Pelodiscus sinensis: one gene and its partner. The protein of the gene in region 2 interacts with the protein of the main gene of each other region in a pairwise test. Links are inferred from orthologs where the notes say so. Each region holds a gene or a part of one and is shown on either strand. Other genes may lie near its edges.

What was found.
Region 1: the proteins of KXD1 (region 2) and EXOC7 interact in binary tests that used the Homo sapiens proteins (3 or more experiments, as listed by UniProt). The two-hybrid records come from large-scale screens. The link is inferred for Pelodiscus sinensis from reciprocal best matches to the Homo sapiens genes KXD1 and EXOC7.

What each region holds. Positions count from the first base shown.
Region 1 is NC_134730.1:10,782,380-10,789,532, reverse strand, and holds the start of EXOC7 (exocyst complex component 7), read right to left. Parts: upstream 3,015-7,153; 5' UTR 2,886-3,014; coding exon 2,826-2,885; intron 1,223-2,825; coding exon 1,157-1,222; intron 1-1,156. UniProt on the Homo sapiens protein: Component of the exocyst complex involved in the docking of exocytic vesicles with fusion sites on the plasma membrane.
Region 2 is NC_134729.1:19,764,046-19,771,049, forward strand, and holds the start of KXD1 (kxDL motif-containing protein 1), read right to left. Parts: upstream 3,007-7,004; 5' UTR 2,638-3,006; coding exon 2,626-2,637; intron 210-2,625; exon of another isoform or gene 44-209; intron 1-43.

The sequences.
Region 1 (7,153 bases), on a different chromosome or scaffold from region 2:
AATTAAACAAAGGCTGGTGTTTGCAGATTGGCTGGATCGCCGCCTCCCTCCTGCCATGGACAGGGGCTGCTCCAGCCCCTGCCATTTAACAATGTCTGATAAGTATCACCCAGTAAGGGTGATGCTTACCGGTTAACTGATCATCCATTCACATCCCTAATTTGGTTGTCAAGGAACTCCAAGTTTGCAACTAACTTAATTAAGAGGGTAAGTGGCCTCAGCAGAAAATGGATGATATGGAGGAACAAAGTTCGTCCAAGCCCTTCCTTCTCTCCAGCAAGATCATCTCTGTCTTGTCTGAGTTCCACATGCTCTCTCAGCTCCTGGGCAGAGATTTGCAATGCTAGAGGTCACTTTAGTCTCCTTGCAACAATAACAAAAAGTACACAATTCCATCCAGTCAGATTCAGATCCAGCTACAGTGACTGAGACTCAGTTACTAAAACTCAAAAGTAAGAATAAGAAGTGGTGAGGTGGGGTGAGGGAATCCATTAGGCAGAGCATCCAGCAGCCCACCTGTTACACAACACAAGTGCCCATGAGCACATCAATGCCACACTTCTCCTTGGGAATGGACTCCCTAATTAATACCAAATCCAATTCTATGCTTCTGTTCGGATGTGGTGGATCATGGCAATACACAGGCAATACAAAACTGTCAACCAACAATAGATCCTTCAGATCCAGGTTACTGAATTCACTACCAGATGAGTTCAGAAAGATCACCAAGTAAATTGTATTCAGAAATTACTCTTCTACTTGGCTTTCCCAAAGCTCTTCACCCCTGTGCCCTGACACACAGAACAATTAATATTAGCTATTTTACCCCCTGGCTGGAGTGGATTTATTTCTACTGTCATATACTCAGGAGGTACTGAAATACTGAGATGAGCAATGCTATAAATGCACATAAATTAAACCAGATTGAAGGATCATTTGAACTCAAGTTTCCAGTCCTGGCAAACTTGCACCCCAACACACTTTATAACCTATCCTCAAGATTCTAATCTAAAAACAGTACCCAGTGAACTCATAAGTTTCCCAAGTTGGCAAATCAGAGCTTTCAAAGAAACTCTCAGGAGAGAAAGCACCAGAATCAGAGACCAAGCAAACCATATCCTACCTTTTTAAACTTAGTTTACGGGACCCTGCTTACCATGTTTTTTGTGAGCTGATCACTTTTTTCAAGGCTCTCTCTTATAAAGGACAGTGTTTCTTCTTCCTGACATTGGAATAAAGAAGAATTTATCAGTTTTATATGACAGGTGAATTTCAAACTTTACACAAGATTGAAAGAAAACTGCATTTCTAAGTTCTATTAAAGGAAATATCAAATAATTGAGAAGGAGTTTAAAAACACGTACACTTTTAATTAGAACAGAAACATTAAAATGATATACCTGTTTTTAAATTTCAATACAGAGGCATCTGGATTTAAACACTGTTCTCTAGTGTTATGAATTTAAACACAACAAAACAATGTTAGCAGGTGAGAATCAACTAATAATCTACATACAAAGTAGCACCAGTTTAACTAAAGGTTTAATTTGTTTAAAATCAATTAACCCAGTGTAGCAAACACTCTCAATTCAATTTAAATCTGTCTTGCCTCTGGACTACACTACAAATTTAGGACAATGCGAGTCACCTTTCATTGACCTAGCTGTGTATCTGACTACACTCAAACTTGTCTTCCACCGATGTAAGTGCCCTATTATGACAAAGTAATAAATGCCACTTTCCGGCTGGGCTGAAGTAGCGCCCCTGCCGTAGTCAAGAGTTGCTCCAGCCTGGCAGCTTCCAGCCCTGCATGGGATCCCGGTGGTGCTAGAGCAGCATTGAGTTGGGCCAGGGGGCTGCTCCCTGGGTATCGATTAACTATTACCCAGTAAGCAACACCAATTAAGGTTACATGTTAACATTCCTATCCCCAGATCTGATCATTCCATGTGACTTCAGGGGCCATATCCCTACCTGTGCCATTCCACACCAGAGGTCAGTAAGAAAAACCACAGCTTCACAAATACTGACTTGTGAGACCCATGGTTGCTGTGTGTATACCAAAATGGACATGAATGTTCTTTTTCTCTTGTGTTTGATTTATTTCAGAAGTAAATGTTCTATTTTTAAAATGATGGGATATGGATGATATTATGGGGTGGAGAAATTATGGGAAATTATGCAAAAGCTCTCAAGAAATGGTCTTCTCTTTGCAAGGGAAGAATTCCAGGAGCCTATGGAGTGCTGGAGTCATTCTGTAGATGTCATCTACAGGTTAGGCCCCAGTTGGGGAAAGGGCATGGGGGAGGACTCAGGGGGTCTTTCTCTGGAGGGGGCATGTCACAGGAGCAGAGCTGTACGGTCTGGTTCAGGGGGAGCAAGGAGGTCTCAGTTCCAGGGAGGTCTGCCTAGCAGGCTCAGTTCCAGAGGAGTGGAGCTGTCCAGGCAGGAATCTGGTTCCAAGGAGGCTCCCCTGAGCCCCAAATCGTGGGAACGTTCTGGGGGCCAATTCCAGGGGAAATGGAGCGGTTTAGGGAAGGCGGATCCCAGACTGCACTGCAGGGAAAGGCCTCTCACTAGAGGCAGTGTCCCTGCCTAGGGAGTGAGGGCCCTACAGTGTGGGTGGGTAGCAGGGAGGGTCTCCCTAGGGCAGGTGGGGGAGCAGCAGTGGGGTGAGCTGTCCGGGGGGGGATGCTGGAGCTGTGAGGGAGGGAGTCTTTTAAGGGGCTGTACAGGGGCGGCGCTGTCCTGGGGGCGGGGGTGGAGCAGGCAACGATGTGGGGGTGTCGGGGTCTCCCCGGGCCCAGCGCAGCGCCCCCCGCTACCTGCTTGAGCTTGTCCTCTATCTCCCGCCTGCGGGCAGAGGCCTCATCCGGAGGGATCATCCTGCCGCGGAACCGCTGGGCACAGCCAAGGGGCACCGGCCTGCCAAACACCCACAGCCCGGCCGTGCCCGCCACTGTCAGTCAGTCTCCCCACTTCCGCCTCACGCCCGCCGCCGTCAGCGCCGAGCCGCCATGTTGAGCGCGGCAGATGGCTATGCGCCTGCGCCCCGCCACACACCACCATCTTGGAACCAGTACTCATGCGCAGATCCAAGACTTTAGGGCTCGGCTTGCGAGCAGAAGTACGCTTGCGCGTCTCCAATGCGCGCCATATAAAGAGTGGCAGGCCCTTGGAACGATGTTCATAGACCGCCATATTGGGCGTGTCCACTGGAGCGCGCTCTTGTCATGTTCACTACTGGATTGGTGGGGGGCAGGGGAGGTGTATCGGTAGTGCCTGGGGAGGGAATTGCAGGCATGAGTTAAATACAGCACACTTGCTGTTACACTCCCTGGGCCTCATCCCTCTGCCAACAGTGATTGGCTGTGGGGATCGCTGACTTGCACATACCTTGTGCAGTGTAGTCAGTGATGTGCTAATTTTATGGGGGGGGGCATGGTGGGGAAATATTCTGCTTTACACTATGTTTCTAGCTGTCAAGGGTTTCCCAGCCAGGTAACCTAATTCCCACTTCCCCTAAAGTGACCAGACGTCTTCCTTTGAGAAGGATAGTCCTCCTTTTGAGGGGCTTGTCCTCCACAATAATTATGTCCTCCTTTTGTCCTCCTTTGAAAAAAATTGTCCTTCTTGTCCTACTTTACAAAAAAAAAATACCGCGTCCCTTTTTTTTTTTTTTTTTTTTTTTTTTTGTTCCACCAAAAAATACCAGATGTCTGGTATTTCTTGGGAGAAATATACAAGTATGTGTTTTTTGTCAACTCAGTGTCCTCCTTCCACATTTCCAAACCCTTACTGTATATTAGGAGAGCAATCAATCAGTCTCAAAAGGTCTTCCATGGATCCCAAAAACCATTGCCCATTTTTAACAGATTGTTTCCTCATCTGTTACACCAGTGGTTCTCAAAGTGTGGTCTGTGATTGCCTTTGCAGGTGGGCTGTGGGCTTGCCCTCTCTCTCTCCCCTCCCTCTAGTTGCAAGCAGAGAGTCCTCACTGGCACTCCAGCCTTGTATAGCCCTTTCTCCCTGCAAGGTTGGCTTCCCGCTGCAGGATGGGAGAGCCCTAAGCCTTGTGGGTCAGATCTAGCTCATAGGGGGAGGAAGTGGTTCCATATGCTGCCACTCCCCCTCTCACTTGGCTGGGGAAACTGCAGCGCAGGAAACTGCTCACATGGGCTATGTCTACACTGGCGGGTTCTTGTGCAAGAACTCTCGCGCAAGAAAATGTCCACACCGCCATGTGTGAGCTGTGCTTTTGCGCAAGAGCATCCATGGCAATGTGGATGTTGTCTTGCGCAAGAAACCTCTGATGACCATTTTAGCCATAGGGCTTTCTTGCGCAAGAAATCCCTGCCGAGCGTCCACACTGCCCTCTGTGCAAGAGCTCCTGTGCAAGAGGGCTTACACCTGTTAAAAAAGAGCATAGCTCTTGCACAAGAAGCCCTCTCTTACCACACTGTACCGTAAATCTTCTTGTGCAAGAGCAGGTGGGCAGTGGATGCTTTCCTGAAGAACGGCTGTTCTTGCGCAATAACCCACCAGTGTAGACATAGCCTCAGAGACTTTCCCCACTACGTGGGCAGGGGACCTTCTCAGGTCTCTTTTAGCTCTATGGTTCTATGATTCTACTCTCATTTCCTGGAATTCCAGCCAGACCTCCACCCCTCTCCTGCATCCGACTTCCCTGCCAGACCCTCCTCCCCATCTTCCCAGTCCACTCCTGCTCCCATTTGGTCATCATGGGTGGTTGCTGGTGGTCCACAAAAGGTTTGTTTTGAGCAGGGTGGGACACAGACCAAAAAGTCTGAGAACCACGGTGTTACACAATTTACATTCTATTATGTTCAGGGAGACAGCCATGTAACTATTAAGACATTTTAGGATCAGGCAATCTTCTGTAACCCTCCCTTTCCTCACTGGAGTACTCAGGAGCAGACCACTCTCTCGCCTGTGTGTCTGAGCACCAGATGTTTTTAACATTAAAGGAGATCCTGAGTGTCCCTATGGTGATGCTGGGTAGATAGGGATCTCCTTGCTATCCACCCGCTTGTGGCAGTCTCTTGCTTCTAAAGCAGGGGTGGGCAAGATACCTCTTGCAGCCCAGATCCGGCTAAGCCGCCCAGTCCAGCCCATGGACACCCTGCTAGGACCCTCTAGCATACAGCAGCAACTGTTTTAAGAGCAGGGCTGCTCTCTACGCCTCTACTCCTGGGGGAGGTGGAGGCTTCAGGTGATCACCCTGCCTCCAGCCCAATACTCAGCTCCTATTGGCTGGAAACAACCGACCAATAGGAACTCACCCCAGCCAATCTCTCTGCGCTTATTGGCCAAAACCAAACATCCAATGTGAGCTGAGAGATTGCCCTGGGGGATGGAGGCAGCATAAGCCTCTCCCCCCTCCCAGACCTGAGTCCCACATGAAGGGAACCTCTTGCAGTTTTAAGTGGTTTGGGGCTGCCGCAGTCAGGGAGCCCAGCCTGTCTTGGGGTGCTGCAGGCTGGGAGATGCTTAGGTAAGCTCCTCCTGGCCAGAGCCTGCCTCTGGCACCCCAGCCCCTCCTGCACCCCATTTCCCTTCCCCAGGTCACCATCCAAACCATATGCATCCCTCCCCCCCAGGTCACAACTCCCTCCCAGACCCTGGGACTCCGACTCCCCTTCCCCAGCACTTTCCCAAACAGCCACAGTTACTAAAAGTACCTTCTATGCAGGCTTTTCAGAGCCATGGGCATAGCCCATGGCAGGTGGCTGTTGCAGCTGAAGCCAGCTGTTCATAGTGGTGCTGGGATTGGGGTACACCCTGGCCCCCTGAGACTTCCAGCACCAGCCCTAACCCCTAGAATCCCAACTCTTCCACTACCCCCCAGTGCCAGCCACTGACCTGAGTTCCCTGCACCCAGTGCCAGCCTCCTATCCTCAGAGCCCAGCAGTGCCAATCCATCGTCCCAAAAGCCTCATTGCCAGCCCCATCCCTTAGAGCCCACCACCACCAGACCCCCCAGTGCCAACTTCCTGTTTCCAGAACCCCACTGCACCCAATCCCCCCAGACCTCCGCCAGTGCCAGTCCCCAATATTAGCCCCATCCCTAGAGCCCTCCCAGTGCCAGCCTCCCACTTTTTAGAGCCCCCCAGCACTAGCCCCACCCCGGGAGCCCTCAGTGCCTGCCTCACCTCCCCCCACCTAGCCCTGAGGTGCCTCTTAACCACAAGCTGAGTGCTGCTGCCCAGGTCACAGCTGCTGTAAGGCTGCTGTGCAAGGCTCTGTGCAGCTCTTCCGCCACGTAGCGAATTGCTCTTCTGTGTCTGGGAGGAGACCCCCCCACTCCTGCTGGTTGGTTGAAAGGTGGGGCCATATACAGGCACTGGTCCTTGCACCAGTGGCTAGGAACTGCTGGCCTGCTAGATCCAAGCCAACAGGCTTTCAGCAGCAGGCTCTAGCTTTGAGCAGCAGCTCCTGGACTAGAAAAAGGTTCCACAGCAGCAGTCTGGCTCCTCTTTCCAAATTGGAGCCCACCAACTCTCTTTCTGCACTGCCTACAAGAGAGCAACAGTTTTCCCTCCTTTTCCCCAAGGGCTCATAGGAGTTGTTGTCTCTAGGGCTAGACTGCAGCACAAAGGATCCCCCCAGTAAAAATTAGAGGCTCCTTTAGTAAAGGGAGCCTACACTTCCCTTTTAAAATACCAGCTGAGTGTAAGAAGGGGGAATGTTGACTAGTAGTTTTAGTCGGGGTTGCCGCCTCTGAGCTAGGGCTCCTGGTTGCTTGTTATAGTTTGGCTACTGATCGGGAGCAGTCACTTGATCCACTTTTGGCTCTATTTACTCAACCTGTTGCTTTGCTCTTCAGTTTACCTTATTGCAAAAATGGGTATTATACCACCACCCTTGCAGACATGTCACAAAGATTCATTAATCCTCTAATTCTCAGAATCTGTAGCTGGAGAGTGCCACTGAAGTGCAAACCAGTATTATTGATATCATATGTGAGTTTGCCTTTGGCATTGCAGTTACAAAATGGGTAGCTAAAGACCAGGGCTCAGGGGCTTCCCATTAATGTAGGGCTGGGGAACCTTTTCTGGACCTTTTCTGGGGCCACTGACTCACAGAAAAATCAGTTGGGCCACAAGTGAGAAGGAAAGCCCCCCCCCCAACC
Region 2 (7,004 bases):
TGGGAACCTCCCCCCCCCGACTCCCCAGCCCGAGGCCGCGCACCTGGACGGGCCGCTGCCCCGGGGCCGCCGCCTTCACATGACGGAAGCGGCGCCCAGGCCAGGAGGGGGCGGGACCGGCCGCGGCGGAGCAGGAGCAGCGGCGGCTCGTGGGGGGCCTCGGGCTAGTGGCTCGCTTCCGGGATGAGGGGTCACGCGCGCGGCGTGACCTTTGCGTCAGGACGTACGTGTGCGTGAGGTGCAGCTAGAAATCCCTTCCCCTCCCCACAGCGCCCCCTAGTGGTCAAGGGCCCTCCCCTCCCACAGCTCCTCCTTCCCCTCAGGGGCTGTAGGGGGGAGACCCCACAGCGCCCCCTAGTGGTCAAGGGCACTCCCCTCCCACAGCTCCTCCCACTCAGGGGCTGTATGGGGGAGACCCCACAGCGCCCCCTAGTGGTCAAGGGCCCTCCCCTCCCACAGCTCCTCCTTCCCCTCAGGGGCTGTAGGGGGGAGACCCCACAGCGCCCCCTAGTGGTCAAGGGCACTCCCCTCCCACAGCTCCTCCCACTCAGGGGCTGTATGGGGGAGACCCCACAGCGCCCCCTAGTGGTCAAGGGCACTCCCCTCCCACAGCTCCTCCTTCCCCTCAGGGGCTGTATGGGGGAGACCCCACAGCTCCCCCTAGTGGTCAAGGGGGCCCTCACAGCTCCTCCTTCCCCTCAGGGGCTGTATGGGGAGCCCCCCACAGCTCCCCCTAGTGTTCAAGGGCCCCCCCACAGCTCCTCCTTCCTCTCAGGGGCTGTATGGGGGAGCCCCCCACACCTCCCCCTAGTGTTCAAGGAGCCCCCCACAGCTCCCCCTGCTCCTCAGGGGCTGTATGAGGGGAGCCCCCCACACCTCCCCCTAGTGTTCAAGGAGCCCCCCACAGCTCCCCCTGCTCCTCAGGGGCTGTATGAGGGGAGCCCCCCACAGCTCCCCTTAGTGTTCAAGGGCTCCTCCCACAGCTCCTCCTCAGGATCCGTATGAGGGGAGCCCCCCACAATTCCCCCTAGTGTTCCAAGGGGCAAGGGGACCCCCACAGCTTTCCCTCCCTCTCAAGCACTGTATGAAGGGAGCCCCCCATAGTTCCTCCTCAGTGCTCCAATGGGAACCCACACAGCTCCCCTTCACCCTGTGACCCAAGGGGACTCCTACTGCTCCCTTTCCCCCTCAGGGAGTGTATAGAGGAGCCCTTCCACAGCTCCCCTTAGTGTTCCAAGGGGACCCCTACAGTTCTCCCTCCCCCTTGGAGTCTGTATGAGGGGAGCCCCTTCACAGCTCGCCCTCAGTGTTCCAAGGGGAGCTCCCCCTCCGGGACTCTGAGAGGAGCCCCTACAGCTCCCTTTCATGTGGCCCAGTGGGTAACCATTCAAATTCATGTGACCCCTTAGCTATACGGATAATATAAGCACTCCCATCCCCCTAGCAATAAATTTCTTCAGGGATAAGCCTGTAGGGGAAGAGGATTAATGTTACCAAAAGGGCTCTGGGGTAACAACATGGGCAGAAAAATCTTTATGAAGTTCTCTGGGAGTCGAACATACATGTATATAGCTAAATCAAAGACAGATTGGCTGACTAGAGTACAGGATGAGCCTAGTAGACTGGACTAAAATCAAAGCAGCTCTTTCCTACTTTGTAGAAGGTCCAGTGCACAGGCTGGTCCAACTTCAAGCTTCTTTCCCAGCACAAATCACCAAGACAAAAGTTCCCCAGGTCTCAGAGAGTAATTTCTCAGAAGAAAAATACTAGAGTTGAGGCTTTTTCAAGAAAATGATTGCTTCACTTTTTTCTCAGTTTACAATAATCCTCAAAGTTGCTTATAAATCAGACAAGCAGACATGTTGCCAGCACAGAGAGTCAGACCAGCTGAAATGCTGCCTTTTTCCACTTGTCTTCCAGATTTTCTAAAAAACAAGGCCTCCTTTAGCCCTCTTTTCCCTTAATACTATAAATCCAAGAACTAAAAGTAATAGACATTTTCATCCGTTTCACACAAAAGAATGGGAAAGCTGGAAAGGTCAGAGTCCTGCCTGGAATCAAATGTGAAATTCTGAGGTACCTCAGGGGTGGTGGTGGGGAGGGGAAGAAGACTGTTTAATAGGTGATTTGGGGAGTAAGTGCCCCCCTGCAGCAGACCATAAGAAGGAAAGAAGTCTTCATCCTCTTTTGCTACTGGCCTGACAATCATAAAAAGAACTTCAGTTTTAAAAAGTTATACATCTGTCATCGGGGCAGCACACCCATCTCCCTTCAGGGGGTGGGCATAATGTCTCTGAGACCCCTCAAATGGTGCTCAACCCCACGTGCATACCAGTTTAAGGAGGAGGGTGCTATGCCTCCCCTTCTTACAACTGCAGCTCATCCGGGACGTATCCAGGACCAAACCACATCCAGCCCAGCGTCTCTAACAATGCCCAGTGCAGTGTGGCCTAGCCGTTAGAGTCAATAGCAGTGGGGTATAGCTCTGCTGTTGAGGATGGTGGGGAGACCCAGGCCCACCCTTTCCACCAGATCCCAGCCCAGGGTCTTGTCAGCAGTGGAGTGGTCCACCACTAGCTCGGCGAGAAATCCCACTGAAACTCCTCTCCATGGGCTACTTCCTACCAGTCTCTCCATTGCAGTCTTCCCCAGCTCTTCTCTCCAGACTGGAGGCTTTTTCCTGCATTCCCCACTGGCTGGCCTCCATGTCTTGCTCCATCTGTGGTTCCTCCTTGGGGACTCCAGCAGCACCTCCTTCCTTGAGGGCTGTCAATCCAGACTGAGCTGCTCCACAGGCCCTTACACCTGGTCTCTAGCTGGAGCAGAGCTGGAGTGGGGTCTCTTCAGCCAGGTAGACTGGGTTAAATCTCGCAGCCCCAGTACAGGGTTGGTACCACCCCATCACAAGATCTCTAGGTAGTTTTGCAAGGCCTTTTGAATGGATTTTTTAATAGGTTCAAAATGTCTCCTCGTATTTTTGATATGGACGGTGTCATTTAAAAAATGTGCATGACTCCTACAGATAATAGAGAAGAGAAAGCAAGGTGAAGTCCTGCCCATGTTCAGTGAGGTGCCTTTTTATATAAACAATATCCATACGAACCATTACCATGTATAGATGCATAAGTAAATATTAACCAGTGGTCCAGTGACCTGGAAAAAACATCGCAAGGTGATGATCTGGTGACCTTGTACAAATGGGTGAACTTTTGCTGTAGGAAAAATTCGCATTTCCTTTCTTATAGAAAAAATACTGCAAGTTCCTGGTTGAAATGTAACTTAGAGGTAAATCAGTAAACTTACACTGAATGTTGCACCTGTGTGTGTGCAGGAAAGCGATATGAATAATGAAGAATTAATCAGCACATCCTGGTGGGGCAGTGATCTTATTCTGTTAAAGAGGCAAGGAGTCCTGTGGCACCTTATAGACTAACCGAAGCGTGGGAGCATAAGGTTTCGTGGGCAAAGACCCACTTCAGATGACGAAGTGGGTCTTTGCCCACGAAACCTTATGCTCCCACGCTTCGGTTAGTCTATAAGGTGCCACAGGACTCCTTGCCGCTTTTGCAGATTCAGACTAACACGGCTACCCTTCTGATACTTATTTTGTTAAAATCTCAAATGTCTGTGTTGCTCTTCTGTTTGTTAAATGAGTATTAAATAGGGATGTAAATGAGTAATTGTTTATTCGCCCCCCGCCCCAGCCCAGTCAGAATGGCCCCTTCTCTTTGCTATGCTTCTGGCAGGGGACTGCTGTGGTCAAGCCAGGCCCACCACAGTGCAACATGGGTTGGGGGAACTCCAGCCCCACCTGGCTGGAGCAGCTCCCCACTCATAATACAATAGGACGGGCTGGTTATCCAGTTAAACATACAGCGTCCAGGCTGCCGTGTCAAGCGGCACATGCACTGATGGGCTCTGCCATCCCAGTAGGGTGGCTGCCACCTTGGATCAGAGCTCTGTACATGCTGGAGCCTGTCACGTTGCCAAGGCTGGCGGGGGGTAGTGGTGAATGTTGGGAGCTTCCCAGAGCTGAGATGCACCAGTGCATGCTGGGACCAGGCATGCCCCAGAGTTGGGGTGCAGCGGTGCATGCTGAGAGCAGGGATGCAGTGGTGCATGCTGGGACTTAGCAGGTCCCAGAGTTGGGGTGCAGCAGTGCATGCTGAGAGCAGGGATGCAGTGGTGCATGCTGGGACTTAGCAGGTCCCAGAGTTGGGGTGCAGCGGTGCATGCTGAGAGCAGGGATGCAGCGGTGCATGCTGGGACTTAGCAGGTCCCAGAGTTGGGGTGCAGCGGTGCATGCTGAGAGCAGGGATGCAGTGGTGCATGCTGGGACTTAGCAGGTCCCAGAGTTGGGGTGCAGAGATGCATGCTGAGAGCAGGGATGCAGTGGTGCATGCTGGGACTTAGCAGGTCCCAGAGTTGGGGTGCAGCGGTGCATGCTGAGAGCAGGGATGCAGCGGTGCATGCTGGGACTTAGCAGGTCCCAGAGTTGGGGTGCAGAGATGCATGCTGAGAGCAGGGATGCAGTGGTGCATGCTGGGACTTAGCAGGTCCCAGAGTTGGGGTGCAGCAGTGCATGCTGAGAGCAGGGATGCAGCGGTGCATGCTGGGACTTAGCAGGTCCCAGAGTTGGGGTGCAGCGGTGCATGCTGAGAGCAGGGATGCAGTGGTGCATGCTGGGACTTACCAGGTCCCAGAGTTGGGGTGCAGCGGTGCATGCTGAGAGCAGGGATGCAGCGGTGCATGCTGGGACCCGCTGGCTGTCCTTCTCTATGGCCATGCAGGTCCCTCCCCCAGCCCCGCGCCGCGGCCCCTTTAAGAAGGCGCCGGGCAAAGGCCGATCCAGGCGGGACGGGCGCTGCAGCCAGCCAGTAGCGACGGCCTTCCCCGCGCCGCGGAGCCAATGAGAGCTGGGGGCGGGGCTACAGCAGCTGATCCCGGAGGCCACAGGCCAGGTGGGTGCTGGGGGCGCTGCTCGCGGAAGAGGCCCCGGGCGTGGGGTCTGCTGCTGGGGGCGCCAGCCAGGTGCCGCTGGGGCGGGGGTTGGGGAAGGGGGGGCAGTGGGGTGAGAGGGGGCTGGAGGGGTGAGAGGGGCCCGGGGAGGAGGGGGGTGAGAGGGGCTGGGGGGGTGAGAGGGGCAGGGGGAGGAGGGGGGGCTGGGGGGGTGAGAGGGGCAGGGGGGTGAGAGGGGCCCGGGGAGGAGGGGGGCAGGGGGTGAGAGGGGCCCGGGGAGGAAGGGGGGCTGGGGGGGTGAGAGGGGCAGGGGGGTGAGAGGGGCCCGGGGAGGAGGGGGGCAGGGGGGTGAGAGGGGCCCGGGGAGGAGGGGGGCTGGGGGGGTGAGAGGGGCCCGGGGAGGAGGGGGGCTGGGGGGGTGAGGGGGGCCCGGGGAGGAAGGGGGGCTGGGGGGGTGAGAGGGGCAGGGGGGTGAGAGGAGCCCGGGGAGGAGGGGGGCAGGGGGGTGAGAGGGGCAGGGGGGGTGAGAGGAGCCCAGGGAGGAGGGGGGCTGGGGGGGTGAGAGGGGCCCGGGGAGGAGGGGGGCTGGGGGAGGAGGGGCAGGGGGGGTGAGAGGGGCCCGGGGAGGAGGGGGGGCTGGGGGGGTGAGAGGGGCCCGGGGAGGGGGGGCAGGAGGGTGAGAGGGGCCCGGGGAGGAGGGGGGCTGGGGGGGTGAGAGGGGCCCGGGGGAGGAGGGGCAGGGGGGTGAGAGGGGCCCGGGGAGGGGGGGCAGGAGGGTGAGAGGGGCCCGGGGAGGAGGGGGGTTGGGGGGGTGAGAGGGGCAGGGGGGGTGAGAGGGGCCCGGGGAGGAGGGGGGCTGGGGGGGCGAGAGGGGCCCGGGGAGGAGGGGGGCTGGGGGGGTGGGGGGGCAGGGGGAGGAGGGGCTGGGGGGTGAGAGGGGCCCGGGGAGGGGGGGCAGGAGGGTGAGAGGGGCCCGGGGAGGAGGGGGGCTGGGGGGGGTGAGAGGGGCCGGGGGGTGAGAGGAGCCTGGGGAGGGGGGGCAGGGGTGAGAGGGGCCCGGGGAGGATGGGGGCTGGGGAAGGGGGGTAGGGGAGTGAGAGGGGCCTGGGGAGGGGGGCTGGGGAAGGGGGGAGGTGGGGGTGAGAGGCTTCCGGTGAGGGGGGTGCCAAGGCTGGGGGGTGGCTAGGTGAGCACTGGCTGGGGACCATTTGTGGGGAAACTGGACTCGGCTTGTGACACACACCCCCTTAGTGGGCTGTGCGGGGCTTGTCGTGCTGGACCCAGCTCGCAGTCAGCCAAGGTCTAGGGGGGAGCGGGGCCCTCCCACTGCTGGGGCTGGGCTCTGTGGGTTCATGTGCCCCACAGTGTACTGGCCCCTTCTCTCGCTGCTTCCCTGCCTCCGGCTGGGAGCCACGAGCCTGTGGCCCAGAGGTGTCAGGCTGTGGTCGGTCCCTGCCTGGCAGTGCCAAATTGAAATGAGTGTGGAGGCGGTGGGCCTGCCAGAGAGCTTCTGTCTCCTTGGCTAGCCCGGGTCAAGGGACGGCCCTGTTGCGATATGGGTGTGAGGGGTGGGTAATGCGGCACCGGTGAAAGGCAGGGATGCCTGTTGCACTGGGTACAGCAGACTGGTTCTTTCCCCAGCCGTCTGGGGCTGAGTGCACCACAGAACCATAGCTCCAGGGTGGGAAAAGTGGGGGGGGAGCACTCATGAGTTATGTAAGGCGCTGTGGCCTCCGCTGGAAAGACTGTGAGGAGGGGGATGGTTCTAAAGGGGCAGTTCCTCTATGGCACCTGTTGAGAGTGGGGGGGCATCACTTACTACTCCCTGGGTTTGGGGGCAGCTGAAGCGTTCCAGGTCCCATCTTGCCCTCACCTTTTTACTGGCAAGCTCCTGTTAAGGCAGGTGTTGATGGCCTGAAGCCTTTTTTCTGTGGGTGGCGCCTGCTGGGAGGCAGGGTCTGAAAAGGGCAACTGCTGGAGGGGATGATACTGGTGCTTCTGCTTGGGCTTGTTAGCTGGGTCACAGCTCCTACGGGTGCCTACAT